Caenorhabditis elegans: one gene and its partners. The protein of the gene in region 2 interacts with the protein of the main gene of each other region in a pairwise test. Each region holds a gene or a part of one and is shown on either strand. Other genes may lie near its edges.

Region 1 (7,980 bases), on a different chromosome or scaffold from region 2:
AGTTGGTATGATGAAAAAAAAATTGTTTCTTTTTTTTTTGGTTTTGGAGATATTCAGTTTTTTGTTTTTAGTCCAAATAATTTTTTTTGGCAGATATTTTAAAAATGTGGTTTTAAATTTTTTTAAATGGTTTTTTAAAAGTTAAAACTAAACCAAAATCGACATTATTATTTCGGTTTTTTTATCTCAATTTTTAATTTTTAGTTTTTTGATCCAAAAAATTTCGAGATCCATTCGAATAACCATAAGTTTGTTTCTCAGAAAATTTGAATTTTTCTACATAGTTTTGTGTTTTTCTCCGTATTATTTCTCACATACACCCCTTTTTTTCAATTTCCAGACCACAAAATAATTGGAATTTTTTTTGAGAAAAAGGAGAGCAGGGGAGCACACGAGAGACATATATCTCTAATTGTTATTGTCGTAGTCGTCTCGATTTTCAGCGCCGCAGACAGACGAGTAGGCGACGACGAAAACAAGGCAAAAATGGAGGCAAAAAGGATATATCCGCCCAGAGAACTGGAGTGAATCATGTATTTTTTGTGTTATTTTGTGAAAAATTATTTCTTTTGTGACTAGAGGGCAATTTTCAAAAAAAAAATGAAACGAAACTTCTAAAAAAGCCATAAATTTAAAACCAAACAATGACGATTAGGGGATATCCCTGGATAGTTTCCGGGCTCTAATCCAGGCGAGCACACAATTCATTGCTAACCTTTGCTTCTTCGGCTGGATTGGCTATCGCTGAGAACATGCAAGTTAGCAGGATAAAAGTGGTGGCCGGTAATCGCATAACTCCAGCATCGACTGAAAATTTGAAATTTGCAATTTTTCATGAAAAATTATAATTATTTTTGTTGGTAAGCAAAGAAAAGAGAATGAATTTTTATGAATTAATGAAAACAATTTTTTAAAAAGCCACAGGATTTTTAAATGAATGAATAATAACCGATTACAGAGGAACTGAAAAAAAACTGAAAATGAGTGTCTGTCTGAGCTTCTGACACTGCTTCTTCCCTCTCTATGCCTCCCCCGGCAGCAAAACAACTTGAAAAACAACAGCTGATTTGGCATTGGAGCGTCTATGCAACCGTATCGAGTCTCTGCGTCTCTCACTCTCGCTACGAATGTTCCAAAAAGGCCGCCGTGAAGAAAAATGAGAGAGAGAAGGTTCGTGTTGAGAGACGGAAGAGAGGGCAGAGAGAGTGGTTTCAATGGAAATTTATGATTTTGTTGGAGAATTTTCTTTAGTGAATAGTAAAATATCACGAAAAAATCTAAAGATACTTGGAAAATCTGAAAGCAATTTCTATTACAGAGTCGCGAAATTTTTAATTTTTGCGCCCGGCCTCGACACGGCAATTTTCGTCAGATACAAACAAGTGTGCGCCTTTAAAGAGTACTGTAACTTCAATTGTTGTGGAATTTTCATCGATTTTTCGTTAAAAATATTAAAACTTAAATAAAAAATAATGAAAATTCGATGAAAATTCCGCAACATGTGAAGCTACTCTTTAAAGGCGCACACCTGTTCATATTTAACAAAAAACATTTCGTGTCGAGACCGGGCGTCGTGTTTTTAAAAATTAGCACTCACCACGCATTTTTTGCATCAATTTCAGAATATTTGAGATTTCCAAAAGCTACAGTGAAATATGAATACAACAAATATTACACAAAAAGAGATCTGAATGGGGTGAGAGCAACGAGAAAGACTGTCAAATCTCCAATTAGGGGCTGAAAACGAAAACAAAATTCTGAGTCGGGGCGGGCAGACGTGATATTATGTTGTTGAATTCTATAGGGAAGGAATCTACGTTACTAGGTCTCGAAGCGACCGGAAATTTTATAGAAAAGCTACGAAAAAGGGGTTGCGCCTTTAAAAAGTATTCCATTCAAGTCTCACTTTTTTGTTTCAGAAAATTATTCGATCTGCGAATTGTGGAAGGATATTCGTAGCAACTACAGTACTCCTTAAAGGCGCACACGCTTCATGCCTGCTCTACAATAAACATTTTCTATCGTGTCGAGACCGGCTACCGTATTCTTTTGTAGGAATTGAAACAATTTCGCATCTTGGCATCTGCAAAGGACTGGAAAAAATGTTTTAAAAACCAAAAATTTGCAGAAAATAGGTCATTATTTAATTACGTCAAAACGCGTTGTTCTGAAACTGAAAAAAATTAATCTGGAAAATTAAAAAGCTGACGTGACCTTAGATTTGAAAAGAAAATGATATGCATAAAACGTGGGACCTGTGGAAAACACGATGACGAACGAACCTTTGAAATCAAAGAAAAAACACATTATTTCGAGTTAGTCTAACAATTTCCTGTACGATTTTACAATTTTCCCGACGAGCAAATGCCTCGGAAGCGTTCTAGATCCGAAAACTACGAGGATCACATTGCGATTCATCATACGCTTCAACCAGTGACGTTCATTGAGGAAGAGGTAATTTGAAATTCTATGAGACTTTTTTTTTTTAAATCTCAATCTCATAATTTTCAGTTAATTCTGGTGTGGCGATTCCCAGTGGACATATCCCAATCTTCTATCGGTGGACGGACAACTTTATCAAATGCCTGTACCCTCATTGCTCTGAAAATTGCCGAGCTCGTCCATATTCATGACATCAAAATGCCAATACCGTATCCAACTCGAAATGATCGTGTGGCGGCCGGTGCTGAGAGGACGCAGCGGAAACATTATATTCGTAGCTCTGCAGATGAGACGGTTGTGGATAACAATGGTTTTGAAACTGTAAGACTTTTTAGATTAAGCTTAATTATTGGATTATAAATTTCTTAATTTCAGACTTGCCCACCGCGACTTATTGGTTGTCTGATTAATGGGATTGTGGATGGAAATGACACTTATTCAAAGCACGCTGGTGACGAATCTACGAGAAATTACAACTTGCCAGATGCAATCAAAGCATGTGATCTTAGTTTTTCGGAAGTTGATTTCAAACTAACTACTGGATCAATCAAAGAATCTCTACCAAAACTAATCAAGATGGCTGTTCGGCAGTAGGTTCAAAATTTCAAATTCTATAAATTTCCGGCATTTTTCAGTCCATTATTTCAATCGGAAAGTCGCCTTGTCTTCATCATGATGAGCTGTGTTCGAACAGTTTCGATTATTTTCGATAGAAATCAGGACACGCTAACTCTATTCGACGCACACCAGCATTACTGGCCAGATAATAAAAGTAATATTTTATAGTTAAGCTTAATAGACCAATTAAATATAATTTTCAGAAACTTATAAGCACGGCGCTCTCATTGGTACTTGTAGCTACAGTAACTTGCACTCATTTGCAAAATGGATAGAAAATTTTGTGTATCCGGATGTCGCCGACCATGTTAATGTGAGGATCTACATTTTTTTTCACCTGTCATTACAAAATTTCAGGCATTTGAAATTTCGCTGATAAGAATTACGGAAGCCGGCACTAACAAAGCTCAAGGTGTATGTAAATATCCGGATAATAAATTCACAACGATCCGAACGCCAGTTTTCCAGGCTATGAATTTGCAGGAGGACAAAGAAAGTAAGTTTGATAGTGATTAAACGAAATTCAACAAAAACTAGATTGCAGATCTGAAATTGTCGGACCATCCAGTTCTCCTCGGCATTCTCTCCAAACCCCCAATCGTAAAATGTGGAGTAAAACGACGACACGACTCAGAAAATGGGGAAAACGAATTTACAATAAAATTAAAGAAGGTATTGAAACACAGCAGTTAAACATAATTTTAATTTCTTTTCAGAAATCGCCTAAAACGACTTCTGAGCGGACTTAATTACAACTTGGAAGATTCTCAACAATGTGCCATCGAGTTTTATGTGATATACAGTTTTTCTCTAGTATTTAGAATAAAAGTTTTTAATAAATTCATTTTGTTAAAGAACTAGAAGGAAAATAGGCAAAAGAAAATGCAAAAACAAAAAAGAAAAAATAAAGAAAACTCCAATTGCTCGTCATATGTGATGCGTTACAGTAATATCTGTGCGGCACGCAGACGCAACATTGCACAGCGCGGGAAAATTTGTTGTTGACAATTTAAGTTTATACTCCCAAAAAATTGTTTTTTCTCTTTTCAAATGAAAGTTTTGCTGAAGTATTGTGTTTATTTTTGTTTAATTAAAAGTTTTTAAGCGGCGGCAGTGTTAATAAGTGATTCAAGCTGGAATTATCAACTGAAATCAACCAAAAAATCGGCCTGTCGGTCTGTTCTAGCGGTAGAATTCTAAAAACATCATGAATACAGTTTATATGTTTGTTTAAAAACATTTATTGATAAACCTTTTCGAAACGTACTAATTCCCGCCGTATGGCCGGTTTTTAGTGGACTAGGCAACGCTCGGTTTCTAGGCTCTCCCGCGCTATTATACTCATTTGAATTTATCCGCTTTTTATTGAATTTTGAATATATATCGAATAGTATTTATTTTCAGATATTAACAAATCAGAAAATGGACACTGAAAACATCGCCGACGCCTCTGATATTCGTGTGAAGGATGCTTCAGGAGATTCAGATGAAAAAGGAAACGGGACTACTACAGAAGAAGAGACTGTCGAGCAGAAGTAAACTTTTGCTGCAGAATATCATCAATAAAATCACTTTTCGTATTCCAGAGAGAAGCGTCTCGCCGAGTTGCTTGCAGCTGGACGCCGTGCGTTGAAAGTTAACGATATCGACAAAGCATCGGATTCGTTGAGTGAGGCTACTGAACTGAGCTCCGAAATTTATGGAGAAAACCATGAAAACACGTTCGATTCTCTTTACTATTATGGCATGGCCACACTGGAATTGGCGAAGGAGGAGAGCCAACTTCTGAAAGGTCCAGGTGAGAAGGAAAGCGGAGATGAGGAGCAAGCTGGAAATTCTGATGACAAGACTGACGAAGAGAATGGAGAAACGGAGAAGGAGGACGGAGAGGAATCCGGTGAAGAAGAGGACGATGATGATGATACCATGAAATTATCATGGGAAATTCTTGAGGTTTCTTATTTTATTCAATGATTTTATGCTTAATTGTGATTATTTTCAGACAGCTCGTTGTATTGCCGCTGCCAAAATCGAAGCTCTAGAAGCTGAGCAGAGTGGAATCAGTGCCATTGAGGAATGGAACCTGAAACTCGCTGATGTACTGGTTCTCCTCGGCGAGCACGGAATATCAGATGGAAAGTATACTCAGGCTTTTGAGGACTTGGATCGTGCCCTCAACATTCAGCGCAATGTTCTTCCACCGTCGTCGAGAAAAATCGCCCAAACCTACATTCTCATCGGAAACGCGTGTGCTAGCGATGCGAATTACGATGAAACCGTTCAGTACTTCGGCAAAACCAAGGACGTACTCATCGCCAGGCAGACTGAGTTGAAGCATGAGCTGGAAAGAGGTGTTGATGATAAGGAAAAGAAGTCTGAATTTGAGAATGAGCTGAAGGAGCTTGAAGAGATGATGCCAGGCGTTGAAGAAATGATTGCTGATGCTGTGCACTCTGCAGCACAAGTTGAGGAAACTAAGAAGGCCATTAAAGCGCAATTCGAAGGATTCACACAAGTATTGGCAAAACTTCCACAAGAAGCCGGTGATCAGAAGGAAGCAAATGATATTTCTAGCTTGGTACGGTTTGAATTAACTTCCCGTAGACTTTTTAAATATTCAATTAACAAATTTCCAGGTTCGTCGTCCAGCAAAACGAGCAGTGGATGCTCCAACTGACAATCAAGCAGTGAAGAAAGAAAAGGAGGAGGAAGGAACAACTTCGATCTGAATATTGATAACCTGTAATTCTAAATATTTCATCATGATCTGACCTACTGAACTACTGATAATGTATCAATTAACATTTTATCTGTTATCCGAATTTAAGGATTCTAAAGTAAAACTTGTTCTGTATATATATATTCGCCATATATTCGTTTTTATAATTTGTTTCAAATCTTTTTCATACTTCCAAAATAATTTTACTATTTAAAACAGGATTTTCAGCTTCATTCAAATTCGAATTATACTTGTATGAGTGAAGAATTTGATGATTGCCATTGGAAAAATATGATCTCTGCTAATAAACAGTTTGATATTCAGCTGGGAGATGAAATTGGAAAGGTAATTTTTTTTAGATAATTAACAATTTAAAAAAAGTAAACTTAAATTTTCAGGATTTCTTCACCCAGGATACAGTGGTCTGCGCGTTTCGAAACAAGGAGAAGACCACGGATTTTGTCTTCACATCGGGTCCAATTATTCTCATTTGTGATGGAACGACGCGACGGAAGATGATTAAACGACGGTTCAAAATGGAGTTTGATATCAAAAAAGTGTTCTTCCACTCGTTCATTGTGACTCGAAACGCTGAAAAGTTGGCAACTGAGAATTGTGGTGGACCTGATACGAAGCATCGGGATTATTTGGTTGTGTGCGGTGAGCATAAGCTCCAGTTCATATCGCTTCCCGACTATCATTTCTATCACTATGAAATTCCTTTTAAGGTGAGAATTTAGTTTGAAATTCTGATAATTTCAAATATTTCCAGCTTCGCAACGTGTTCTCCTGCTCGACAAGTCTTCTGGTCGAACGGTTCTACGATTCATCCAGCGAACAAACCTTCCACCATCACGACACATTTCACCTCTACTCGCTATCCGGTCCATTCGGCGAGCTTCTCCCGGTTATCTACAAGACAAGCGGCTACCATCCACAATGGAAATTCTGTTGGCAATCGCATCGAGACGAGGCTGGACTCGTTGACGCTCAGCAAAATTACGTTGTTGTCTATGATCAGAAGGAGAAGACGCATCGGATTTATATGGCACGAGAGACACAAGAACAGGAAGTTCACGCAGCGATTCGATACGTTGAAGCACTCAGAAGACCGTCTGATTCAACAATGTTCGCGTCGAGTTTGGCGCCGAATTCTGCCGGCAGAACTACGCATTTTGATCCGACACTCAACTCTCCCGCCGGTAATTTTTGAAAACTTGAGCTTTTGGATAAATATATTATTCGTATTGTATCAGACATTCAAATCGTCAATATTTAGTTAATTTACAGTGATTTAAGTTAAAAACCAAAAAAACCTCGTTTCGAACAGGAAATAATTCGATTTTCCCCAAAAACTACTAAAAAAATCAAATGTTAAATTAGAAAGAGTTGTGATTAAAAACTAAAAAATAAATATTTTCAATTATGATATAGTGTGGAAGTCCGAGTTAATTTATATTCAACAAAAAATCATAATTATTTTCCAGAAAATGTGCTCTCCGAAGTGATCAGCTCGGAAATTGATAGCCGCTCACCGTTCACTCCTCATCTGCGATCCGGTTTTGGACATTCTACTCCAAACAACCCGAACGCTCCAGGCTACCCTGCAACACTTCCAACACCGAATTTTGAAGGTAATTTTTTTTTTTAATTCATAAAAATTTATTAGCACCATTAACCTCAAGTCGTGGGCGATCGTGCACGATGATGATGATCAAAATTTAAAAGTGTTATGCTTCGCCGTTGCTGATGCGCTCGTCCTGGCACTCGATTCTGTTTGACTTGATCTTCGAGGGGGCTCAATTGAGACGTCAACTTGAGCAGTTGAATGTCGCAATTATTTAGAAGAATTGACGGGTTGTTGGGAGAAGACATACGGCGGTTTCTGAAAATACGTGAAGTGAGAATTATAGCTGATGTCCGTCAAATTGTTACATACCGTAGTGCTGTGAAGTCTTGGCTATTCCTTTGAAGAGCTCCACCCGCGCGGAACATACTTCTTCGTCGATATGGAGTAATTGGAGATGATGGCTGAGTTGTTGTAGTCGTCGAGTTGCTCTCTGTTGAGCCAAGAAGAGCACACATTGGAGCTAGATTTGAGTAAATTAGAATATGAATTTAGCCAACAGAAACCAACAACAAAAAAACTATAAAACGAAAAGCACACGGCACACAGCAAACCTAGAAGTTAGTGTATTTAT
Region 2 (8,300 bases):
CTGAGTAAATGTAGAAACGGAAGATTGGGAGGTACTTCCAGCAATGGCGCCAGGACCACATTCTCAACTGAAATTGTCATTATTTATTTTCTTCATACTTTCCGGGAAATCTTACGTATTCTTGAGCGGTCCATGGCCGGGCTGGCATGCGTGGATGAAGGTCTGTGGCCGGGATTGGAGCATTTGGAGAAGCAACGACGACGGCGGCTCCTTTGACTGTCTCGGCAGTCCACTTTGCTGCCTCAAAGAGCTTTCCTACGACCATAGTTGATTACCTACAAAACTAAAAATGATTATGTAGTTAAGCTTTATTTGAATATTGATATTTTTAAGCTAAAAAAAAAGATAATTGACATAATTCAACATCGTGAGAGCGTGGGGAAAAATTGAACGTGAATTGCAAGAAATAAACAAAATAACTTATATTTATCAATATTTTACATCGAAAAAAAACTCAAAAAGAGCAATTTTTAGCTTAAAAATAAAAAATTGGGAAGCCAAAAACTGACGGCGGTTTTCGTCCCGCCCCTTTTTGCAAGATTGTGCGTGCTCGCGGTTGTGTGCAAACACGCCGCACACACTTACGACGCTGCGTTTTTTGTCTGCCTCCTGTTCTCGTTCAAAACTGTTTCACCGTTCACCTCGTTTTTCTCTCACTTTTCTGTTTTTCTTATTGTTTTCTACTAGAATTATATCTATATTTGTTCAAAATATAATAAAAAGACGACGCTTGAAGTGTTTCGAATAGTTATTTTCACTGAGCTGCACCTGTCTAATAGACCCACCGTTCAAGGAAGAAAATATCGATTTGTAGGCACTGAATAATATTTTTTAAACATTTTTCGATTCAAAATAAAAATACTTCCAGCAATGGCGCCAGGAAATTCATTGGAGAACTCACTCTCAAATATTAATCTCAATTTCGTAAAATGCTATTATCAAAAAATATCAATAGCACAGGCCACGTGGCTTTTGTTTTTTATTTAAGCTCCTCCCACAACTTTATTTCCGAAGTGAATTTAAAAATTAAACTAAAGGTCAATCATGGGAGGAGCCTAAATAAAAAAGAAATAAAAATCAAAAGCCATGTGGCCTGTGCGATTGATATTTTTTGATAATAGATTGTGGCTGGCTAGTTTAGATTCCTGTAGAAATTGTGCCAAGAAAATTTAAATAATTTCAAGACAAGGCCCAAAAGACAGTATATCATATTGTCAGAATTTTTTATTCCTTGGCACTGGCGAAATTTTCCAGTGCTCTAAATTATTCCAAAAAACCACAGCCACCTGTTTAAGTATATGTCTTTGAAAATTATATTCCTTCAAAGTTTTTACAAAACCTCAATTCTTATATTTTTCCGCTTCAATGATCTTGCCGAATTCAGTTTATTGATCAAAATGTGTTATAGTAATGAGCGTTTTCACGTCGCGTTTATATCGATTACCAAAAATTAGCCAAAAACTCGATCAATACTGCATAACCTGTCTTACACCTTCTCCTTCTCTTCATTTTATTTTTCTTCGAGCAATCTTGTTATTTCAGTCTACTGCGACCATCAAACATGAACTCAAACGGCCCGTTGATGGAGCACGGTAAGCGCCGTGTCGCCTACTACTATGACTCCAACATTGGAAATTACTATTATGGTCAAGGGCACGTCATGAAGCCACATCGTATCAGAATGACCCATCATCTCGTTCTCAACTATGGTCTGTACCGGAATTTAGAGATTTTCGTAAGTAATATTTCTTCATTGAAATATTGTAAACGTTTAATTTTAGCGCCCATTCCCTGCATCATTCGAAGACATGACTCGTTTTCACAGCGACGAGTACATGACGTTTTTGAAGAGTGCGAATCCAGATAATCTGAAATCCTTCAACAAACAAATGCTTAAGTGTAAGTTATATTCTTTTTAAAACTAAATGTATTGTCTCATTTCAGTCAATGTTGGAGAAGATTGTCCTCTCTTTGATGGTCTTTATGAGTTCTGCCAACTCAGTTCGGGAGGTTCTCTGGCTGCTGCCACTAAATTGAACAAGCAGAAGGTGGACATTGCTATCAATTGGATGGGAGGCCTCCATCACGCCAAGAAAAGCGAGGCGTCCGGATTCTGTTACACCAATGACATCGTTCTCGGTATTCTCGAGCTTCTCAAGTACCACAAGCGAGTACTTTACGTCGATATTGATGTTCATCACGGAGATGGAGTAGAGGAGGCGTTCTATACGACTGATCGAGTAATGACAGTGTCATTCCATAAATATGGAGATTTCTTCCCAGGAACCGGAGACCTGAAAGATATAGGAGCTGGAAAAGGAAAGCTCTATTCAGTCAATGTTCCACTTCGCGATGGAATCACCGACGTCTCTTACCAGAGTATTTTTAAACCAATCATGACAAAGGTTATGGAGAGATTTGATCCCTGTGCTGTTGTTCTTCAATGTGGAGCTGATTCTCTCAACGGAGATAGACTTGGACCATTCAATCTGACCTTGAAAGGCCACGGAGAATGTGCTCGTTTCTTCCGAAGCTACAACGTTCCACTTATGATGGTCGGTGGAGGTGGATACACTCCAAGAAATGTGGCACGTTGTTGGACGTACGAAACCTCGATTGCCGTCGATAAGGAAGTTCCAAATGAGTTGCCATACAATGACTACTTCGAATACTTTGGACCAAACTACCGACTTCACATCGAGTCGTCGAATGCAGCAAATGAAAATAGCTCCGATATGCTGGCTAAATTGCAAACTGACGTCATCGCCAATCTCGAGCAGCTCACTTTTGTTCCAAGTGTTCAAATGAGACGTACGTTTTGAACGAATTTTTGTTCACTTTTTAGAATCTGTCAGAAAATTATTAGATGTTTGTTGAACACTTCATAATTATTCCATTTTTCAGCGATCCCAGAAGACGCCCTCTCTGCATTGAATGATGACTCATTGATCGCCGACCAAGCTAATCCCGACAAACGACTACCACCACAAATTACCGATGGAATGATTCAAGACGATGGAGACTTCTACGATGGTGAGCGTGAGGGAGATGATCGAAGAAACGAGAGCGATGCGAAGAGAGCAGCTCAGTTTGAGTCGGAAGGTGGTGAAAAGCGTCAGAAGACAGAGTAAAACACTAAAATGTGCCGCCGTCGAATTCAGTATCTCCTCTGAAAATAATATTCAATCACTGTACACCACTTTTTCCTTGTCAAATGAGTATTACTTTTTGATTTTCCTTAAATCTAATTTAATTTTCCGCCCAAATCCCAACTGTTTTATTTATTTTTCAAATTCAAGCACTTTTATTTGGAAGATCTCTTCACTTTTCCCCATTAATCCTTTTTTATCTCAGTATCCTTTACCCGTTTTGCACTTCCTCAACATCCTTACTCCTCACATCCACATCTAATCTACCCCCTTCAACGATTTCCATTTCTCTTGTCGTCCCACACTCCCCATTTTACTGGCACACAATTCCAATTCCACAGTCAGATCCTGAACACTTTTTTGTATTTTGGTGAATTTCTTCGTTTTTATTTATTTAATAAAATTGACTCGATTGGAACCGGCGCAACGTCTATCTTCAATTCGGAAATTGGAAAAATCGAATTTGTCACATTGGAATTCGAATGGAAGAAGACTAAAGTTTTTGCAGTTGACATCGTTTATGTCGTCAGTTTCAGCTGCTTCATAATTATTGTCTGGAAGCGAGCAATTATAACACGAATTATGATGACTACGCATGTGGTCTCATATTACAGAATAAATTCTCATTTCTATTTTCAATTGTATTCCTTGTCTGTCTTCATCTGATGTTGGATGGTGTGCTCCAAAACGGAGACCAACAAAAATTGCATCATAAAAATCCACTTATCCAAATTTTAGCCCCACCTGGGAATGGAATCGAATCGGCTCTCCGAGCACTCCTTTCACACAGAGACGGAGAGAGAAATTAGCTTTTTACTGGGTTCTTGTTGTTGAAAATGCAAAAAAGATGAAAACATGTTTCGATTCTTTCTTTGTTTTTCTTTTTTCTTTCCACTCATTCATACTTTTCATTGTTTGTCGTTCATTTTTCAAGTCTAAAATTCAGAAATATCGAAAAAAAAGGATATTCAATTTCGCAACGTAACCGATTTCCGGTTAGATATCAGCTTGAGCAGAAGGGGAGGTGCATGAAGAATAAAAGAAGAAGGAAGGGAGAAGCTCAATTTCAGTTGATGAACATTCGTTTTTTAGTTTTATGTGTCTTGTCCTCCATTGAACTTAACTCTTTAAAAATGGATTACCGGTTTTTGAACATCTCTTTTTCAGTTTATTAATCGCAACGTCACACGTAAAGCCGCAAGGGTTTATTCGGATGGGTCTCGCCACGAGGAAAAAGTTTAAGTGTACAGTTTAGAATGTACATCAAAAAGTTATACTTCAAACTTTTCTCGCAGCGAGACCCATATGATTAATTCTGTGCACCTTTAAGTTTCAGAAAACAGCGAAAGATAAATGAGATGACATGAGAAGTGTACTATTCTCTTTTTTTTTAATTTGGCAGCTGAAAATACCAAGAGAACGGAGTTCGTGGCGAGACCCATTGAGAAAATTGTACGTAATCTTCTGTACACTCACGAATTTACTATAAAATTTAAGAAAATATTATTTAAAGTTTTCTAGATGATTATTGAATCTATTTGAGATTTTCTGTTAGCCACAATTTGGCATAATTTTCAATGGATTCAAAGAATTTTCGTTAAATTTTTTTTCTAAATTTGAAATACTTTGAAATTCTTTAAAAAATCAAGTGAAGTGGTTTAATAAAAAGACTGAAAATATATTTAAAAAGGTTTTTGTCTCTTCGGGTACAATTTCAGATAGAAATTGACGAATTGAGATACAAAGCTTTTAAAGTTTACTGAAATCGTATTATTACAAAATGAACGCATATTAATTTTTCCAGAACAATTTTTTGTCGACAAAATGTAGGAAATGTGAGATCCGTGTAATAACGGAAATAGAGCTGGCAAGCCCAAGTTTTGAGAATCTCGTTTTAAAAAAGACCGTTACACTTTTTACCAATAAACCATATTATCACTTCAAGACGGTTTTTTACAGACTTTTAGGCATGTTGTGATATATATTTTAAACTATAGTTTAATCCATAGGAAAAATTCTGAAGCTTTTCGGACTTTTTTCTTTAAAAAAATTAGTGAACATTGAACACGGCTCTGGAATAAACCAAATTTCTTTATACTACTCGTCTTACTATTAGTTAGACAGTTTTCACATCTATAACAAGAATGATATTTTAACCAGAATTTCTTGAATATCCCAAGAAAAAGTCTTATTCTATGGTATTTTGCTATCTTCTCAAATTTCAAAGATCTTGAAAGTAAGTCGTTTGTTTTCTTTCACATTGTGGTCTAAAATTAAATGAAGTAAATATCTATGTACATCTGCGTCCATTCAATTTCCCACTTAAAACAGAAATAAATGTAGTGCCCTTGTTAATGAGCAAAAGTTGACCTTCATTGATGGAGTTGAGAATATCTGGAATCAATTATTTTCATTATTGACTTCCCCCTTTGTCTACTTCCTCGTTATTGAAATACTTATATTTCTAATTGGAACACTTGAATTTAGAGTCATAAACTTTTGAACATGATCTTTTTCTCGTTGAGTTATCTACCATTTTCCTCGTAAAACAACGATCGATAAAATCCAATAAAATCATCACTTTAATCTCGGATACCGGAAATTCGAATAAAATTGAAAATTGATCATGTGCTCCTCCAAATAATCATGTCGTTATGTTTCACCAACGCTTATTTTCCTCTCTTTTTTGAATATGAATAGTGTTTCTATGGTTTGAATGAATGATGTCATTTTGAATGGCACACTTGCCTTGCTTTCCATTATTTAACAATAGGCAAGTTCAGCCAATAATGTGGTAAATGTATTAAGTAAAGCTATGAATGAACCAAAAAGGTAAAGACGTGCATTTACTTTTTGGATTTGCGCAAACCTTCAAGAAATACACTAAAATGACTGTACTGACCTGAAGTTTTAAAGAATATTTATCTGAAAAGTTCAATTTGGAATTTTTCCATTTCACTTACTATTAGTTCATTATAGTTCAAAAGTAATGTTTTTAGTTTAAAGAAAGCCTGAAAAATATAAAAATTTGGTTATACTCCTTTCATATAGCTGATTTATTTTTATATATCCACAACTAAATTATATCAGTAGTTGGACTTTTATATTTACCTACTTGAACCCGAAAAAATTATTTATTTTTTAAAATTGTCTCAAAGTTATTTTCAACAGTAGAGCGTGTCTTCCAATAAACACAACATACACTTTGTTTGTGCTCATTAAAAAAATTAAAATATAACTTAAAAACATTAACTGCCACATTTATAGAAATGTTCAGTTAGAGATAGAAATTTTTAATCAAGCTCCCAATATTTAAATTCAAAATAGTACGAACTAGAAAGTTTTAGAATAATTTTGGTAAAAGCCTATTAATTTTTTGAAACCTATGTCTTCTGGAAAACCCCGTGGAATTTTGTAGCTTAACCATAAAAACATTTTTTTGCAAAATTTGAAACACACATAAATTTTTTTTTTGCGAATGCTACTGAGAAAACCCCAAATAATTTTTTCCTAAAATTTTAACATCTTGCAAGATTCCAACTTTTCCTGTTTATCTGCAAGTTTGTAACTTGTTCATTTCCGTGTTGTTACACATTGCCACCAACTTATCAGTCAACATTTTTGCTGTGAGCAGTATATGGTGATATCAGAATTCGTTCCCACAAGTCAACGAGTATTTTTTTTTCTTTCTCGCAATTCTAGCTATTTGCACAAAAACAAGACTCTTACCTAATCCCTCAACTTTTCATGTTCTATGTGCTCATTTTACCCACAATTTCTCTTCTCTTTCCAGAGAAAATTTTTGCGTCGGAAAAAAAAGAAAAAATCGTTCAGGTTTTATTGGATTCTGTTCAATTTTTTTTGGGAACTGATATTTTCAATTAATAAATTGCCACTGTTTTCATTCACAATTCATGCATTTCTGACAATATTGCAGGTACCAGAATGTACCCGCCCTATTCTTTTATTTTTTCCATTATTCTCGAGTGCGCCGCCGGTCCATCGTCGGGGTGAAGTAAATCCATTTCGCGCCACTACTCAAAAATGCATTTTTTGAGTGCTCACTCTTTTTGGACACTTTTATTCTTTTTTCTTCGTATTGGCAATAAGAATTAATTCAGGAACAAGATGGCGGCAGTACGTGCTGGAGCTGTTGGCCTGTCGAAACAGGCAAGATTCACAATGTATTCGTCTACAAGGCCAGGTTAGTGAAGATGTTGGGAAAAAAGTAGTCAGAAAGTTATGAAACAGGGGTATTCGGTATGCTTTTCTCGGTACATACTTGTAGACTATACCTCTATAGATCCTAATTCTCATGATACCTACAAAATAATTATAAACTCAATAATCTTTAGTGAGAAAAAGTAAATTCTGGTGATTCTTGAAGAACTTGGTTTCACAAAAAAATAAATCTAGAAGCACGCAAAATGTATGTAACTGTCTGCTTTTTTTGTTCGACTAGACTTTTTAGAATCCCTGGAGAAAAATTTTGAAATGTCAAGTACTTGACGTTACTTGAACTTGTTGATCATTAATTTAAAAATACATATGTCCTCAGAATTAAAATCAGAATCATTTCCCAATCCTCAACATATATGTATACTTCTCAAAGATTATTCATTTGTTTTTTTGATCTAGGATATAGTTTTTTTGAAGTGAGTGTGTTGAAGTGAAGATTTTTTAAGGAAATCTGTAAGAAATCAGCTCATATCCTCAATCAGATTACATCTATACAATAACAGTAGATGTTTAAAAAGGATTTAGAAAATAAATCTCTAAACATCGGGAGTTTGAACACCTAGAATTATCAAAATAATGACACATTTGTTTCAACCATTTATTACTATTGTAAACAGATAAGATAAACCAACTCCCGAGCCGAAGAACTTTTTGAACTGTTCAGTTCTAGTTTTTGAATGAAAGTAATTTTCGATTAGTTTTAATCATGTTTATCTTGAGACTAATTAGTATGGACTCAACATCCTAAAATGACAAAAAATCGGATAACTAGTAAGTTTGATTTTTACGTTCCGGGAATTTTTTGCAGTATGTCTAGCAAATTCATCAGGTATAATTTTCATAGTTTGCTATAGACTTTATAAAATATATTAGAACTTGAATAAAATTGACTTTAAAAGTTGATAAAATTTG
Region 3 (8,764 bases), about 11 Mb from region 2:
ATCAATATGGCTCATTTGTGCATTGTGGCTTCTCATGCCATTAATGGAGTCGCGGCTCTTCACTCGGATCTTCTCAAGAGCTCCACGTAAGCGAAAATGCTCTGAAACCTGGCGCTAGAACCAATGGGCGACGCATCATTTTGCAGCTCCGCCGCACGAATTTATTTTGGCTGTTTTTCGCATGATGTTTTGAAAGATTTCGATATGTGAACTCGATAAAATCACGAAAAATTGATAATTTGTCATTGAAAATTCGGACAGAAAGAGAAAAAACATCGTGCGGCGGTGTTGCTAAATCGCGCGCCGCAAATTGCAATCCCGGCCCGCCCAATTTTTCTTACGCGCAAATTGCAAAATTACCATTTTAAAAAATTAATATCATCCATTTCCAGCTTCCGTGACTTCTATGAGTTCTACCCGGATCGCTTCCAAAACAAGACGAACGGAATCACACCACGCCGCTGGCTTCTTCTCTCCAACCCATCTCTCGCCGACCTCATCGTCGAGAAGATCGGCGAGTCGTGGATCACCAATCTCGACGAGCTTCAGAAGCTCAAGGAGTACGCCAACGATGCCGGGTTCCTCGATTCGATTCGTCGTGTGAAGCTCGAGAACAAGCAACAAGTCGCCCAGTATTTGAGCGACGAGTACAATGTCAACGTGAACGCCGCTTCGTTGTTCGATGTGCATGTGAAGAGAATCCACGAGTACAAGAGACAGCTTCTCAATATTCTCCACGTCATTGCTCTCTACAATCGTATCAAGGAGAACCCGAACATCGATATGGTTAAGCGTACCGTGTTGTACGGAGGAAAAGCTGCTCCAGGATACCATATGGCTAAGCAGATCATTCGTTTGATCACCGCCGTCGCCGAACAAGTCAACAATGATGCCATCGTTGGTGATCGTTTGAAGGTCATCTTCCTCGAGAACTACCGTGTCTCGATGGCTGAAAAGATCATTCCAGCTTCTGATCTCTCTGAACAGATCTCGACCGCCGGAACCGAGGCTTCAGGAACCGGAAACATGAAGTTCATGTTGAACGGAGCTCTCACAATCGGAACTCTCGACGGAGCCAACGTTGAGATGGCCGAGGAGATGGGCGACGAGAACATCTTCATCTTCGGAATGAACGTCGAGGAGGTTGAGGCGCTCACAAAGCGCGGATACTCTTCGCAGGAGTTCATCGACAAGAGCCCAATGCTCAAGCAGATCATCGAGCAAATCGAAGGTGGCATGTTCACTCCAGAAGATCCAGATCAGCTCAAGGATCTCTCCAACATGCTCCGCTATCATGATCGTTTCATGGTGTGCGCCGATTTCGACGCTTTCATTGAAGCCCAGGATAAGGTAAAACTCAAAAAATTCAACTAATTCAAATTTTTACTGATCAAAATAAATTATTTTCAGGTCTCCGCTACATTCCGCGACCAAGAGAAGTGGTCTCGCATGGCCCTCTACAACATCGCCTCGACCGGAAAGTTCTCAACAGATCGCACAATCACCGAATACGCTCGTGAAATCTGGGGAATCGACCAGTTCGAGAGCTCTCTTCCAGCACCATATGAGAATGAGAAGAGCGAATAATTCTTCTATGCACTAACATTGTAATTAATTATCGCCATAACTTCCCCTCCTCTCCGTCCCATTTAGTTTATAGCATTTTTATAGAAGCCTTTCCCTCCCCCGATAATTCTTGTGAATCTTCAAGATCAAATTGATTTTGTCCTCTCTGCCCCCAGTCCAATAATCGTACTTCCCCCGAATGTGTTGCCATACTTTGAGATTGTCTATTTGCACGTCTGCCCTGCATATTTATGATAAATTGACTGAAAATATCAACTTTTTTTTTTTAATTTTGACTCGAATCTGCAAATGCTGAAATTTAATTAAAAATTATGGCTGTCTGAAGGATCTTCAAAGAAGTTTCGATACCTCTACGACCAGCTCGTTAGCAAAATACCAAACTCCTTTTCGATGAGTTTTCAAAATTCCTGGATAAATATCCTGAACTTTCTACATCAGAAGACCATTCGCAACGTAAAATTATTGATTCCAGGAAGTTGAAGTTCAGATCCACGACAATCAGACTATGATTCACAACTTTAACAAAACATTAGCAATTTCATTTTTAATAACAACAGTTTATTCAGAAAATAGAAAAACTTAACGACGACGGAAGAAGTTCTTCTTGACCTTTGGCTTTGGTGGCAGAATGATTCCATCGTACTTTTGCTGGAACCATTTGATTGTCTCCTCCTTATCGACACGGTGGGATGGTCCAATGCGTCCTGGTGCACGTCTGCGCTTGGAAACTCGAACTCCGTTGCGGTTCAGAACGACGTAGAAGTCCATTCCGTAGATTCCAATTCCTGGGTCGTACTTGATTCCGAGATCAATGTGCTCCTGGAAACAAAATAATCATCACTTTTGAACACTTCAACTTTAAGCTAACCTGAACTCCGAAACCGAAGTTTCCAGTGTCAGAGAAGTTCTCTTTGAAAAGCTCGTATTCCTTGACCTTGAGTCCCTTCTCGAGGATTTCCTCAGCCTTTGGTCCACGAACGGTGCAATGAACAGCAATCTTTTCGTTTCTGCGAATTCCGAAAGTTCTGACGGTGTATCGGGCCTTGGAGAACACTGGGGTTTGTCCGGTGAGCTGCTCGAGCACCTGAAAATATTTCGAAAATTTACGAATTACTGTAGAATATATTGGAATACCTTAGCGGCACGGGTGAGACGATCTCCAGACTCTCCAACACAAATGTTGAGACAGAGCTTTTGGATCTTGAGCTCGCGCATCACATTGCGGCCCTTCTTCTCGCGAATTTCCGTCTGTTTTTCGACGTCCGTCATGATTACCTGAAAAAAAGCATAAATACATAAAATTTGAAAACTGTGACAAGCGAGAACAAGTAGAGAGAAACGCATAGACACAAGTTCAAAAATGCCGATAAAAAATTAGCATCTTGAGATCCTAGAAAGATATTCAAATTTTAGGCCTAAAACAACGAAAATGGGAGGAGCGACGCGCACACACACACACACACACCGGCATGCGCTGAAGAGACGGCAGAGAAAACGGGCAAGCGATAGAACAGCACAAACGGGTGACAGAGACGGCGAAACAACGACAAACCACTCTCATTTTGTGAGGAAAACTCGAAAAATCAGAAAAAAAAACCTCGAATTAAAATGATTTTCGGCCCGATTTAGGATTCGAGGGTACGGTTTTGTTTTCGTGCCGAGATATCGTGGTCCCGAAAATGGTGTGTGCCTTTAATTTTCGAATTTAATTATTTAATTCAGCTTTTTTCCGATTTTCGCTCTTTTTTTTTGAAGTTTTCCTTGAATTTTCTTGATTTTTTCTATATTTTCTTGAAATTTCTTCTTTTGAATTGAATTTCTAATTTTTTTTCAACGTTTTTTGTTACAGAATGACAGTAAATGAGGGTTGGGATTCGTTCAAAACGAACAGATGGATTAATTTCGATACTATTCCATCATCCTCCTCACAAAATCGTCCTGCACCCCGAGCTCCTGAAATTGAAGTTAATAGAAAAACGCCTGATTCACCATGTAAGCTTTGGAAAATTTGCGAATAATCTGATTAATTTTGTTTTTTGCAGCAAATCGAGCAAATCGCCCACGAACGCTTTCAGACCGGGGAAACGAGATTTTGGATAATCATGAACTCGTCAGCAGTCTCTACGCTTGGAATTGGTCAGAATTGAGAGAGAATTATCCGGAAAAGGGAATCCAGAATCCGTCGATTTATTGCTATGCGATCTCGTGTGTTCAATTATTATCGCATGTTCCGGCAATTGTAAGGATCCTTCAGGATCATCAATGCCAAGATACAGGTTTGATTTATGATTTTTCTATGAAATATTCTCGCAATTATGCTAATTTTCAGCTTGTCTCTGCTGCAACTGGAAGAAAAACTTCCTTCAAAGCCATGGCCATGCTGGAACTATCAATTGGTTCCGTGAAGCATTCAAAAAAGATCGAAAATTCAATCAAGGCCGCCAGGAAGACGCTCATGATGCTCTCCTGGCGATTCTGGGGAAGCTCGATAAGATATCGGTGCAGAGCAATCCTCGTCTGAAAGGCCGCAAAGTGGCCGATGATTTGTTCGGATATTCCATAAGAAATGAAGGTTTTTGAAGCACTTTATTGATTTTTTTTTTAAAGAAAATAATTTTAATTTCCAGTTCAATGCCCCGGGTGCAAGAACAAGCACGTCTACTATGAGCACAACACCGTTATGACGGTTCGGATGCTTAGAAAGGATCCATCAGGCAAAAGCCACTCCATTAAAGAACTCATGCAGGCTCTGTTCACGGAATCCAAGATATTCGGCTATAATTGCTCAAAGTACTGGATTTTCGAACTCATTTTCCAATCAAAATTCCCCAATTTTCAGGTGCAAAAAGAAATCCGACGCGCCAGTGAAGCCCACACTTCTCCGAGCTCCACAGATCCTGCTAATGCACATTTCTCGCTTCTCGTTTGATGGTTGGGGGAAGAAAATCTCTCGGCCTGTCACCTTAAATGTTAGTTTTTAAAGAAAACGGCACAGGAAAAAAGGGCGGAGTCGCGAGCGCAATCCGCGGCGCGCGATTTCGCAACTCCGCCGCACAGTTTTATCCGAATGGTTTTTCACCTATTTTTCCGCACTTTTAAGTGTTTAAAGTCATTTAATTGAATAGAAATTAATAATTTGTGCTTAAAAATTCGGAAAAATGGGTAAAAATAGTTAAATTAAGCAACAAAAAAAAAATTCAATTTTGATTTCAGGAAACTCTCGATGTGACGAGTATGGCCACCGCCGGCGCATCCACCGTCTATAAGCTGTGCGGAGCTGTGATCCATGGTGGGACTACGCTGGACTACGGCCACTATTGGTGTGTGGCTCGATCGAGAAAACGAGAGGAGCAGTTCGTGACGTTGAATGATTCATCGGTAAGGTTCCGTGTGGCAATGTGACCTTCTAGTTCTCCTGTTTCAAACAAGTGAGAGAGAGAACATTGATTCCACAATGCGATTATGCAAAAAGATACATCACGCCGGAGAGATTCGAAGAAATATGAAACTCCATTTAAAAAAAAGGGCCGAACCGGGGATTGAACGCGGGACCTCTCGCACCCAAAGCGAGAATCATACCACTAGACCATTCGGCCACTGATAAATATTCAGCGGGAAGCCAGAGACGTAAAGCATGCTTGCTTCAAATGACTAATAAAGAATCATTTCTTACCATTTCTACGTCCTTCGCTTCCCGATGGATACTTATCCGTGGCCGAATGGTCTAGTGGTATGATTCTCGCTTTGGGTGCGAGAGGTCCCGGGTTCAATCCCCGGTTCGGCCCATTCCTTTTTTGTTGTTTTTTTCCTTTTTGGAATGCCCAGTTAACTATTAATAAATCTACTATTCAGGTCTCCCAACACACGAATCCACGAGATGCTCTTCAATCCTACATTGTGCTCTACAGGCGGCGCGAACACCTGGCCAACGTTGGCAATGAAAAGTCGATGATTTAGTTCAAATAATTGCAATTATTTAGTTCCTCCCCCCACTCATAGCTGTACCCTATTTTTTTTTTAAATTTTTACCTTGAAATCGTGTAGCGTCGTTCCGTGATACATTTTGTTTGCCCCCCTTCCCCACCCGTTTAGTACTGTACTATCGTTTAGCAGTATTTTTCATTGTTGTTCAATCCCGTTTTACATGTTTTTTTCTCTCTTTTTATTAATTCTGGCGTACCTTTTCATTTTTGAATTGCCGATTAGAAAATCATCAAATTTTGTTTAATTGCTATTTATTTATTCAAAAACACCACAATTAGCAATCACAATATTGGCCTTTGTCCTGCCCTGCTGCGGCCCATTTCCTTCCAGAATTCCCAGATTCTCAATAGCATCCAGAACATCGAATCCCTCGACGAGCTCGCCGAACGCCACGTGGAATCGGTTCATCCACGGAGTTTCGCGAAACGTCACGTAGAATCGTGACGAGTTTGTGTTCTCCCAGCCATAGTTATCCATTCCTAGGATTCCTCTGAAGAATAGGGATTTACCTGGAAATCTGGGGGCAAAAAAAACTCACTTTTTGTCGTGAAGAATCTCGAAATTCTCGTCGTCGAAATATTTGGTGCCAAACGTGGATTTTCCACCGTCTCGGCGAGCATTTTGGGTTTCAAAATCGCCGGACTTAACATATACGGGAACATAAAATTCTCAAAATGCGTACTACGCAACATATTTGACGCAAAACTACAGTAATTCTTTAAATGACTACTGTAACGCTTGTGTCGATTTACGGGCTTGATTTTTTAAATGCATTAAAATCATTTATTTGCCGATAAAATGTTGAAATTAAACAAAAAATCGAAAATCGAGCCCATAAATCGACACAACCGCTACAGTAGCCATTTAAAAAATTACTGTAGTTTTCGCTACGAGATATTTTGCGCGTCAAATATGTTGTGCAATACGTATTCTCATTATTGGGGTCTCGTAAACATTCGTTCAAAAAAAAAAGAATTCAACTCACACAAGCACAAAAAGTGGGAATAACCCTATAAAACACGCAATTCTTGTATCCAAAACCAGGCGGCCCGGTGCAAAGTTTCACAAAATTCTCACATGTTTTAGGGCATTTTTCAGTGTTCAGCTGGAATATTTTTCGGATTAGCTAATATTACACGTGATGCCAGCCTGTCCCATTACGGTTTGATCTACAAAAAATGCGGGACTCTTTCGCCCAAAAAATGTGACGTCAGCACGTTCCTAACCATGCGAAATCAGTTGAGAAGTCTGTGTCTCTTCTCCCGCTTTTTTTGTAGATCCACGTAGATCAAGCCGAAATGAGGCTTTTTGACATCATGTGATATTACAGGAACTCGAAATTCTGAGATTACGTAATGCGCAACATATTTGACGCGCAGAATATCTCGTGGCGAAAACTACAGTAACTTTTTAAATGACTACTGTAGCGCTTGTCTCGATTTACGGGCTCGATTATCAAAAATGGACAGCTACAGTGCTGGCCAAAAAGATATCCACTTTTGGTTTTTTGTGTGTAACTTTTTTCTCAAGCATCCATTTGACTTGAATTTTTCCGTGTGCATAAAGCGAAATGTTACGCAAATTTGCGGACCAAACATTACATGATTATCGATTTTTTCTGAATTTTATTTCAATTTTTTGATTTTTTCGTTTTTCCAATTTTCATTATTTTTTTTTGAATTATCAATAAAACGCACTCTGTTTGTTGCACTGGATTTGTTTGGTTGATAAATTATTTTTAAGGTATGGTAAAATCTGTTGGGTGTAAAAATCTTTCCTTGGACGTCAAGAAAGCCATTGTAGCTGGCTTCGAACAAGGAATACCCACGAAAATGCTCGCGCTGTAAATTCAACGTTCTCCGTCGACTATTTGGAAAGTAATCAAGAAGTACCAAACTGAGGTGAGTTCGAAAAATATTATTTTTTAATAATAAATGTTTAGAAATCCGTCGCTTTGAGAATCTCGCCCGGCAGGCCTCGAGTGACAACCCATAGGATGAATCGCAACATCCTCCGATCAGCAAGAGAAGATCCGCATAGGACCGCCACGGATATTCAAATGATTATAAGTTCTCCAAAAGGACCTTTACCAAGTAAACGAACTGTTCGTCGACGTTTACAGCAAGCAGGACTACACGGACGAAAGCCAGTCAAGAAACCGTTCATCAGTAAGAAAAATCGCATGGCTCGAGTTGCGTGGGCAAAAGCGCATCTTCGTTGGGGACGTCAGGAATGGGCTAAACACATCTGGTCTGACGAAAGCAAGTTCAATTTGTTCGGGAGTGATGGAAATTCCTGGGTACGTCGTCCTGTTGGCTCTAGGTACTCTCCAAAGTATCAATGCCCAACCGTTAAGCATGGAGGTGGGAGCGTCATGGTGTGGGGGTGCTTCACCAGCACTTCCATGGGCCCACTAAGGAGAATCCAAAGCATTATGGATCGTTTTCAATACGAAAACATCTTGGAAACTACAATGCGACCCTGGGCACTTCAAAATGTGGGCCGTGGCTTCGTGTTTTAGCAGGATAACGATCCTAAGCATACTTCTCTTCATGTGCGTTCCTGGTTTCAACGTCGTCGTGTGCATTTGCTCGATTGGCCAAGTCAGTCTCCGGACTTGAATCCAATAGAGCATTTGTGGGAAGAGTTGGAAAGACGTCTTGGAGGTATTCGGGCTTCAAATGCAGATGCCAAATTCAACCAGTTGGAAAACGCTTGGAAAGCTATCCCCATGTCAGTTATTCACAAGCTGATCGACTCGATGCCACGTCGTTGTCAAGCTGTTATTGATGCAAACGGATACGCGACAAAGTATTAAGCATAATTATGTTGTTTTTAAATCCAATTGCTCATATTCCGGTACTTTAATTGTCATTTCCTTGCAACCTCGGTTTTTTCAATATTTCTAGTTTTTCGATTTTTTTGAATTTTTCTGAAGTTTTTTCAAAATCTGTTGAACATTTTTTATGAATATTGTGTTTTTAGATTTTGTGAACACTGTGGTGAAGTTTCAAAACAAAATAACCACTTAGAAAAAAGTTACACACAAAAAACCAAAAGTGGATATCTTTTTGGCCAGCACTGTATATTCCATTTTTCTTCATTTCTTCGTATTATTTTTTTAAAGCCTAATTTTAATATTCTATCGAAAATCGAGCCCGTAAATCGATACAAGCGCTACAGTAGTCATTTA
Region 4 (7,592 bases), 2.8 Mb from region 2:
TCCATTAATCTATTAACCTATATTTGTCTTTCATTCACATATTTGTTTCTCAACAGCATAATAAGTTTGCTTAATTTCAGAGCTTGTAGTTGTCCGGTGTTGAAATATCGTATTTATTTGTAGAAATTGTATTTTCATATTTTCATTGTCAGTTCAAAAACAAAACATATGCATTTAAATTAAATAAAAGTGTTCACTTTTAAAATAAGCACGTGGTGATATTGAAATAATAAGAAAAAAATCACTATAAAAAGAACCTCAGAATTCAAAAAATCTATTTCGAACAAAATGGTTGGTGACGGTTCACTTTCTTCTGAATCAGTTATTGGTCTTCACACTTACAATAGTGCAGCCGATCTAACTAGTGGACATGTGTAAGTTTTCAAGGTTTTCAATAATATTTAAGCTTAATTCATTTTCAGTATGACACTTGAAAAAAACGAGTATCTATTTGATCTGAACACAAAAAACGCTTGCACTCGTCCACTGGATATTTTTATCAAACTTCTTTCAACTTCCTCTGTCGGAAAAGAGTTTTCACATTTCTCGTCTCTTCCATTGTCACGACTTCGCACTGTTGACGCTTTCTTTGATCACCCCGAATTGAATAAATTTGGAGAAATTCAAGTTTACGAGCAGACGCGTGTTCGAGCCGTTCATCGTCAAGGTAATTCAAAAACTTCAGAATAAAAATATGTAAAACTAGTGGGGCGTTACGTCATTACACATTTATTTACTACATTATATTATTTTAGTATCGCAATTTATGTCAAGTCGTTAGTGAAATTTTAACAAATTAACTGAATATTCCACGATATCTCTATTTTAGTTCCACGCCTTGATGTGGTGGCAGTACGTGAATTTCAATGTTTGACGTTCAAAAACAGAAAAAAAGCGTTAGGTCTTTCATGTAGGCGCCAAAACACCTGCCTGCCTCACCTTAAGGCGACCTTCGCCTGCATCGCGCACCGTCTATCAAAATAAATATGAAAATACCCCCTTATGGCTGTCACAAGGGACACTAAAAAGACGGAATGTCTAGATTCTGACTACCCGTCTAAATCCAATCTTCTACACATTTCAGGTCATAATTACCTCAACTCAAGTTGGATCGACGGATATCGTGAAACTCGAAAATTCATTGTCGCCCCGTCTCCTATGTCTGAAAGTGTTGCTCAATTTTGGCGGTGTGTTTTCGATCGTAATTCTCTTATTGTGGTGACACTGTGCGAGCTCCTGGATGAAAAGGGAAAACCATTTGTGCCTGTAAAGATTGGAGAACCATTGGTAATTGATGATATGACAATTGAGTTGGATAACATTCGAAAAGTTCGACCGGCAACTTACTCTTCTGTTCTGAAGATTTCTGAGAAAGGTGTCGAATCTCATAAAACAGTGATTCTTCTGACCTATAGTGGATGGGGAAAACTTGGTTATCCACAGAAACCATCTGATATTCTGGATTTATTGGCAGATATGAACCATATGAGAACAATTCTCAGAAAACAGGGACTTGAAAAGAAGATTTTTGACGACAGTCAACGGACACCAATGACATTGGTGTGTTTTGATGGATTCAGTAGAAGCTGCACTCTTGTTGCTTTGGATATTCTTTGTCAACGTCTGACAGCCTCTCATGAAATTGGTACTCCATTTGTTGATATTCTGGATACAATTGCTAGACTTCGAATGCTTCGTGGTGCAGCCTGCATGGTGATACGTTCTTTATAACTAGATTAAAATTAATATTTTCAGAAAGCCGAGCAGTTTGTCTTCTTATCAATGTCAGTTCTCGAATATGCCATTCGTCATCATTTGGTGAATGTGGAGGATCTCGGTAAAATCAGCTTGAATGGGTTTATCATTCGCAATAATCCTGAATCTTACTGACCCGTTTTTTCAAGTCTACAAATAAAAGATTCTTCAAATTTTTTATTCTCATTTTATTTCCTTCCGGATGACCTACATTAAAACTTGAGTCATTTTCCCAATTACCACCTTTTTGGAATGTCACTTTCAAGTGTCAAACAATGAATACGTACACATATCTTCAGATTTACTTTATATTTCTTCACATCTGTCACTGCCAAATATTTCAACAAATTCCAGTGAGTCCAGTAACTGGTTTGAATTTCAACAACTTTTTTAGAATCTGATTTATCTGAGAAACTATCTTTGTCAAGAATGTTATTATCTTTCAGAAAAATTTGTTAGACAATTTTCACAACGTTCGATGAAAGGATATTTCTGAAAGTTTATAGTCTTACAGGTTGGAATGGGTATGGGAATGGGTATGGGAATGCCTATGGTTATGTCAATGCCAATGCATAATCTTGTTGGAAACCCATTTGAACAAGGAATGGAAATTGTACGTTTTCATGTCATGATTTTCAATTCATAGTTCTCTAAAATTTAGGAATACTCTCCAATAACTCAACTTGTTTCATCAGTTGCTCATCTTGTTGAAATGCATCAAAAAAGTAAAGAAAGAGAAGAAGATCATCAAAATTCCCATGGTCCAATGTTTCCGGAATTCTCACAGCTACAGAGCCAGATGAGACGTAGGCCATCGATCTCAGAATCTGGAATTTCATTGAATGGACCACGATTTAATTTAATCCCGTACAGTCAAGACGGCCTGGGTTCATCTGGTTCATCGACAACGTCTAGAATTATTAATTCAATATCTCGTAAGAATGGATTTCTTCAACATGAGCAAAAATTCAATTTCAGCTGATACGATTCCACCTGTAATGTGGAGGATTGGTGATCTAATTGGAAAGCATGATACAAATGAAAAAGAGAACTTGTACGATATGACTAAGATCAAAGGATTCCCTATTACTAAAGTGGGTCGATTTACAGTATATTAAAGTTGTAACAATATTTCAGAGTCTTGATAATGAGAAACTATTTCGAGATGAAGATTTTGCAAATAAATCGAATAAATCTTGGACAGTCTTGGAAATTGCTAGAAAAATGTTGGGTGTTGGTAAGTTTTTCTTCTGAGTTTGCAAAATTCATTTGATGCCCTGTGTAATTTTGAATATTAAACAAAACTTTTTGTGCAAGATCGCTGTGAGACCTTTTGTGAAAATATAGCGTGTATGTACCTTTAAAATGAAGTCTCAAGTTTTTAAGAAACTTTGATAATTCCAGATGAAATACCGACTGCCAACGAAGGAAATGCAATAGCTCAGTTGATTGAAGAACTTCGAAAAAATAAAGAAAATTAGTTGAAATCATCTATTCCAGTTTAAACTTGTAAGAATACAAAATTCAATAAATTATCTATCAACTATAATCACTGTCGTTTCAAATATTCTCCATAATCAATAACTCCATCTCCATTAAAATCCAAATCATCCAAAACAGCATCAACAAGTCTCTCTGTTTCTGCTTCATCTGATACTGGAACAGGATGTCCGGAATCTAAAAAGTATAAAGATAAGTCTATAATTGATTGGTTATCCAGTACCGTGTGCATCATGAGTGTGAGTAAGAGCCTTCAAAATTTCAATTCCATCAATAAAATTGTCCTTATTCAAATCATGCATTGAGAAATAATGGAACCGTTGTTGTTCTTCTGTTAGCTTCTCAACTTCGATTTTATTTTCCAAATGTTGTTTGATATGTCTTAAAACAAAAGAAGCGTACTATTGAAAATCTTTCTCAAATTACTAATGAAATGTGTCTTGAAACTCTTTTCGAGAAAAACTAACTATAACTTCTAACTGTAAGGGAAAAATGTAAATATTAACATTTTTAAAGTAGAATTTTAAATAGTTGTCAATATTAGGAATGTCCAAAACGCTACCTATTTCTCAGCCGTGAAACTTTTTGACACCACCGGATGTGCGCCTTTAAAGAGTACAGTAACTTTTGTTGTTGTAGCGCTTTTTTTAATAGATTTTTGCTCAAATGCTTTAGTTAATTTTTTCAAAATAAAAAAATCAATTAAATCATATAAATTTTGAAAAATAGTGTACCAACAATGAAAGATCGATGAAATTAAAAAATTACAGTCCTCATTAGAGGCACACATCCGCTTGTATTTGACAAGAAGTGTCGTGTCGAGACCGAGTTATGTGCTTTTAGCGCGAAAATTGCTAAATTTCGCATATGGCATATAATTGCATCTACATTTACTTTAACCAAACTAATTTTCATACGTACACTTGCACTTACTCTTCATCGTGTACTTCTTTTTCTTCAGCAAACTTTGCTCCTTGAGCTTCTAGCACTAAAATTTAATAATTTATAAACATTAGAAAGTTATAAACAGATTTGCATACCTAATAGAAGGAATACAGTTGAGATGAATAAAAATCCACGCATTATAGAGTGGGAATATGTATAAAATCAATAGAAATAGACAGAAAACTCTTTTTCTCAAGACTGCCAAATGTCAATATTTTATTATCAGTCTCCCCCTGCTTCGCCTTTTAGTTCCAACGCAAAATTTGGTAGTGCAAAAGCAAAAGCAAACATGAATTTTATTGTTACAGGTGCTAAATACAAATTTTCATTTGTTTTTATTCGATCTCAACTAACTATAAGATAAACCAATAAATTATGCTTTTTACAAATGGGTTTCGAAAAATCATCACAACTTGAGAAATGATGGGGAAAATGCAAAATTGGAAAAATAACTAAAGTTGTAGGACTGGGAAATGGGGAGGGTGTCTGACTATTATGTACCAGTTAAAGTGTTAAAAGTGACGAGGATAGTATGATAAAATGATTTGTTACAGCAGTCGATATAACCCATCAAAAGACGTAGAATGTTAATAAAACATTGAAAACTTTGGAAACGAGGAATTGGAAATTATGGCTATTAATTAGATCGTTGTCCTAATCAGAATTCTCGATTATTGTGTGCCACCAGCTTTCTGCATTTGTTCCTGGTGAGATCTTGCTTGATCTTCTCGAAGCTTTTGTGCTTTGAGGAACTCTCCGTAGTCGATGAAGCCATCAGCATTGAAATCGTCGTCCCTGAAAATATTCAGTAAAGTATTTTTTTAAGACTTTGAATATTTTAGTGCTTTCTTATGCTAATTGCTAGCAGTAGTCTCTAGAAAATAAATTAATTAAATATATATCTCACTTTAAAATACTATCAATCATCGTCTCCAATTCAACTTCACTTGGGAGTGGTGGTGGCTGATGATTGGCATTGGCATTATTTTGTGTATGCTGTGGTCCTGGATTCTCGGCATGGAAATGCGTTATTGCCTTAATCAACTCGACTCCATCCAGTTTCCCATTTTTATCTAAATCGTGCATATTGAAATAATGGAATTGAAGTTGTTCTGGCGTCATGTTAGCAGTTGGGTCCACTTTTCCGTCCAAATGTTCTTTTATGTGGCTGAAATGTTTTAAATTAATTTTGAAAATTGTTATTAAAACTTACTGTTCATCTCTGGCCTGTTCTCCACCAAACTGCTGTTGCCCAGGCTGAGCATGTTGAGCTTGTTCCGCTTGGCCACCCTGATTTATTCAATACAATTTACAAAATTAAAGAAGCTTTAAAATAATAAAAATCACTGTATCCAGATTGTTTTTCAGTTCAATTTCTAGCGAAAATAATTTTCTTATTATTCTTTACAAACATTGTTTACCTGTTGTGGTTGCTGTTGATTAGAACCAGGAAACTGCTGTGGTTGGTGGGCAAAGGAACCAAGAATGAGGCAAGATACCACCAAAATGTTGGCTGCCATTCCTGTAATATTATAATCACTAAAATATAGACAAAACTAAGTAAGAATACAGAAAACGGAATCAAAAACGGAAGCGTGAAGTGGAAGCTGTTATTTTATTTGTGTCGATTTACGGGGAGATACGGTAATCGGGAGGCAACGTGTTCCAAATCTTACGGTAATCGCTGAAATTTCTTAAAACAATAAATCGAAACGAAAAGTTATGTGTATTTTTTTAATAAAATTAACTTGACTGAGCATTTTGGTTGAGAAATATAAAACTTAAACTGAAAATTAAACAAAAAAAAAAGAAAAACTAGTGCATTGAGGAGCGTGTTTGTTGCGCATAAAATACGCAACGCCACGCACAACCTCCGACCACACATTGATTTTCTTCTCCACGAAGTCGAGCCGGTTTAGTGGACTGTTGCGACAATGCAGCGAAATATTTGTTATTTGTTTTTCTTTTGAAATAATATTTTTACCGTGACATTTGAATATATTAATCTTTTCGACGCTTTCAGTCATTTAAACAATATTTTTCAGTTTGTTCGATGTCGGATGTCGGACTTTCACAACATTAGATCTCGTCGACGAATACCAGAAGCCAGTTCTTACTCAACAGTCGATTTTGATTACGATCCAGATCAGAAGAATCACACTTCAGCAGTTGCTCCGACTAGTTTCGCGTATAGCTCTCTCACAACCGTTTTCAACGCGTCAGCTTCACAACTTTGGAATTCTGCGCAGGTTTGTCTATCGGAACGAAGAAAGATGGCTATCTGTATATTTCTGGTTTTTATTTTTTCATGCATATATCTTTCAGGAGGCGCTTGTATCCTCCTACGACACAGCGGAAGGCACTGAAAGCATAGACGCAGATCGATCAAAGGTAGTAGAAACACTTGAATCGCTGAGTATTTTTGGAAATCCACTTGATCATATCATTATCACAATGCCATCAAGAGATCGAACTTCGGAATTCCGGGCGACAGCCAAATCATACGAAGTGAGTTTTTTCATTAAACTTCTAAAAATAAGCTTTTATTTCGAAACATTTACTTTTAAAACGTGTTATTCGGGTTTCACATCAACATTTGGACGAGACGAATATATCGATTTTTGCGAAACTCGAAATACACTTCGAACAGAAAAAAGAAACACGAATCACCTGTTAATATTTTTAAAAACATTCTAGGCGATAATATTTTTATTATTTATATAAAATTCGGGTAACATATAATTTTTCAGATGAAAGCAGCCGCAAATGGAATTAGACCTCAACCAAAGCATGAGATGCTATCTGAATCCGTGCAGTTCAATCAACTCGCAAAGCGAATCGGAAAAGAATTGAGTCAAACGTGTGCAAAAATGGAAAAACTTGCCGAATATGCTAAGAAAAAGAGCTGCTATGAAGAACGATCTCAAATTGACCATCTTTCATCAATTGTCAAGTCTGACATTACGGGTTTGAACAAACAGATCGGACAACTTCAAGAATTTTCAAAAAGACGTGCAGGAAACATGAAAAATCAAAATAGTGGACATATACAATTAGTTGTAGTTGGATTGCAGTCAAAATTAGCGAATGTCGGAAAAGATTATCAAAGCGTACTGGAAATTAGTACAGAAACAATGAAGGCTGAAAAAAATCGCCGAGATAAATTCTCGAGTGGTGCAGCAGTTCCAATGGGACTTCCTTCCTCCTCTTCCGGAGCTAATGGTATTTTATTTTCCTCGCTCATTCAATAAAAATCTGAAATTTTAGTTCGTTCAAAGCTTCTTCAAGATGATGAGCAGCATGGCTCCTCAAGCATAGCTCTGGATATGGGTGCTCTGTCAAACATGCAATCACAACAGACTATGGTAAGTTTTCAATTTGAAAAATATGAA

What was found.
Region 1: the proteins of hda-1 (region 2) and nasp-1 interact in a two-hybrid assay, tested with the Caenorhabditis elegans proteins (2 studies listed by BioGRID).
Region 3: the proteins of hda-1 (region 2) and T22F3.2 interact in a two-hybrid assay, tested with the Caenorhabditis elegans proteins (2 studies listed by BioGRID).
Region 4: the proteins of hda-1 (region 2) and F55A11.1 interact in a two-hybrid assay, tested with the Caenorhabditis elegans proteins (2 studies listed by BioGRID).

Annotation. Positions count from the first base shown.
Region 1 is NC_003280.10:11,102,154-11,110,133, forward strand, and holds nasp-1 (Protein NASP homolog 1), read left to right. Parts: upstream 1-4,458; 5' UTR 4,459-4,482; coding exon 4,483-4,595; intron 4,596-4,646; coding exon 4,647-5,013; intron 5,014-5,062; coding exon 5,063-5,638; intron 5,639-5,696; coding exon 5,697-5,789; 3' UTR 5,790-5,917; downstream 5,918-7,980. Other genes in the region: C09H10.5 (uncharacterized protein), read right to left, coding at 716-807, 1,598-1,604; C09H10.9 (YqaJ domain-containing protein), read left to right, coding at 2,365-2,454, 2,512-2,763, 2,818-3,032, 3,078-3,214, 3,264-3,373, 3,418-3,556, 3,605-3,732, 3,777-3,809; apc-1 (Anaphase-promoting complex subunit 1), read left to right, coding at 6,071-6,124, 6,178-6,507, 6,552-6,981, 7,267-7,413; glb-4 (GLOBIN domain-containing protein), read right to left, coding at 7,460-7,664, 7,719-7,869. UniProt on the Caenorhabditis elegans protein: Promotes normal hermaphrodite (XX) development, in concert with zinc finger protein tra-4 and histone deacetylase hda-1, perhaps as components of a complex. May act redundantly with nasp-2.
Region 2 is NC_003283.11:14,523,847-14,532,146, forward strand, and holds hda-1 (Histone deacetylase 1), read left to right. Parts: upstream 1-1,542; 5' UTR 1,543-1,561; coding exon 1,562-1,735; intron 1,736-1,781; coding exon 1,782-1,899; intron 1,900-1,944; coding exon 1,945-2,811; intron 2,812-2,904; coding exon 2,905-3,131; 3' UTR 3,132-3,565; downstream 3,566-8,300. Other genes in the region: ril-1 (RNAi-Induced Longevity), read right to left, coding at 1-67, 116-265; kcnl-4 (Calmodulin-binding domain-containing protein), read left to right, coding at 7,278-7,353.
Region 3 is NC_003283.11:3,583,203-3,591,966, forward strand, and holds T22F3.2 (Ubiquitin carboxyl-terminal hydrolase 36), read left to right. Parts: upstream 1-3,436; 5' UTR 3,437-3,437; coding exon 3,438-3,579; intron 3,580-3,629; coding exon 3,630-3,863; intron 3,864-3,916; coding exon 3,917-4,159; intron 4,160-4,214; coding exon 4,215-4,377; intron 4,378-4,426; coding exon 4,427-4,556; intron 4,557-4,800; coding exon 4,801-4,965; intron 4,966-5,111; exon of another isoform or gene 5,112-5,183; intron 5,184-5,300; exon of another isoform or gene 5,301-5,372; intron 5,373-5,439; coding exon 5,440-5,544; 3' UTR 5,545-5,810; downstream 5,811-8,764. Other genes in the region: pygl-1 (Alpha-1,4 glucan phosphorylase), read left to right, coding at 1-86, 393-1,350, 1,411-1,587; rpl-11.1 (Large ribosomal subunit protein uL5A), read right to left, coding at 2,167-2,406, 2,456-2,671, 2,722-2,856; T22F3.12 (Peptidyl-prolyl cis-trans isomerase), read right to left, coding at 5,827-6,061, 6,110-6,213, 6,557-6,676.
Region 4 is NC_003283.11:11,758,659-11,766,250, forward strand, and holds F55A11.1 (EF-hand domain-containing protein), read right to left. Parts: upstream 5,728-7,592; 5' UTR 5,721-5,727; coding exon 5,622-5,720; intron 5,491-5,621; coding exon 5,414-5,490; intron 5,369-5,413; coding exon 5,108-5,368; intron 4,996-5,107; coding exon 4,872-4,995; 3' UTR 4,481-4,871; downstream 1-4,480. Other genes in the region: T04F3.3 (Tyrosine-protein phosphatase domain-containing protein), read left to right, coding at 289-374, 423-667, 1,085-1,713, 1,756-1,890; T04F3.5 (uncharacterized protein), read left to right, coding at 2,031-2,108, 2,270-2,368, 2,417-2,690, 2,734-2,849, 2,893-2,992, 3,160-3,236; T04F3.4 (EF-hand domain-containing protein), read right to left, coding at 3,305-3,432, 3,479-3,636, 4,189-4,243, 4,296-4,338; syx-5 (Putative syntaxin-5), read left to right, coding at 6,261-6,449, 6,526-6,708, 6,951-7,422, 7,468-7,565.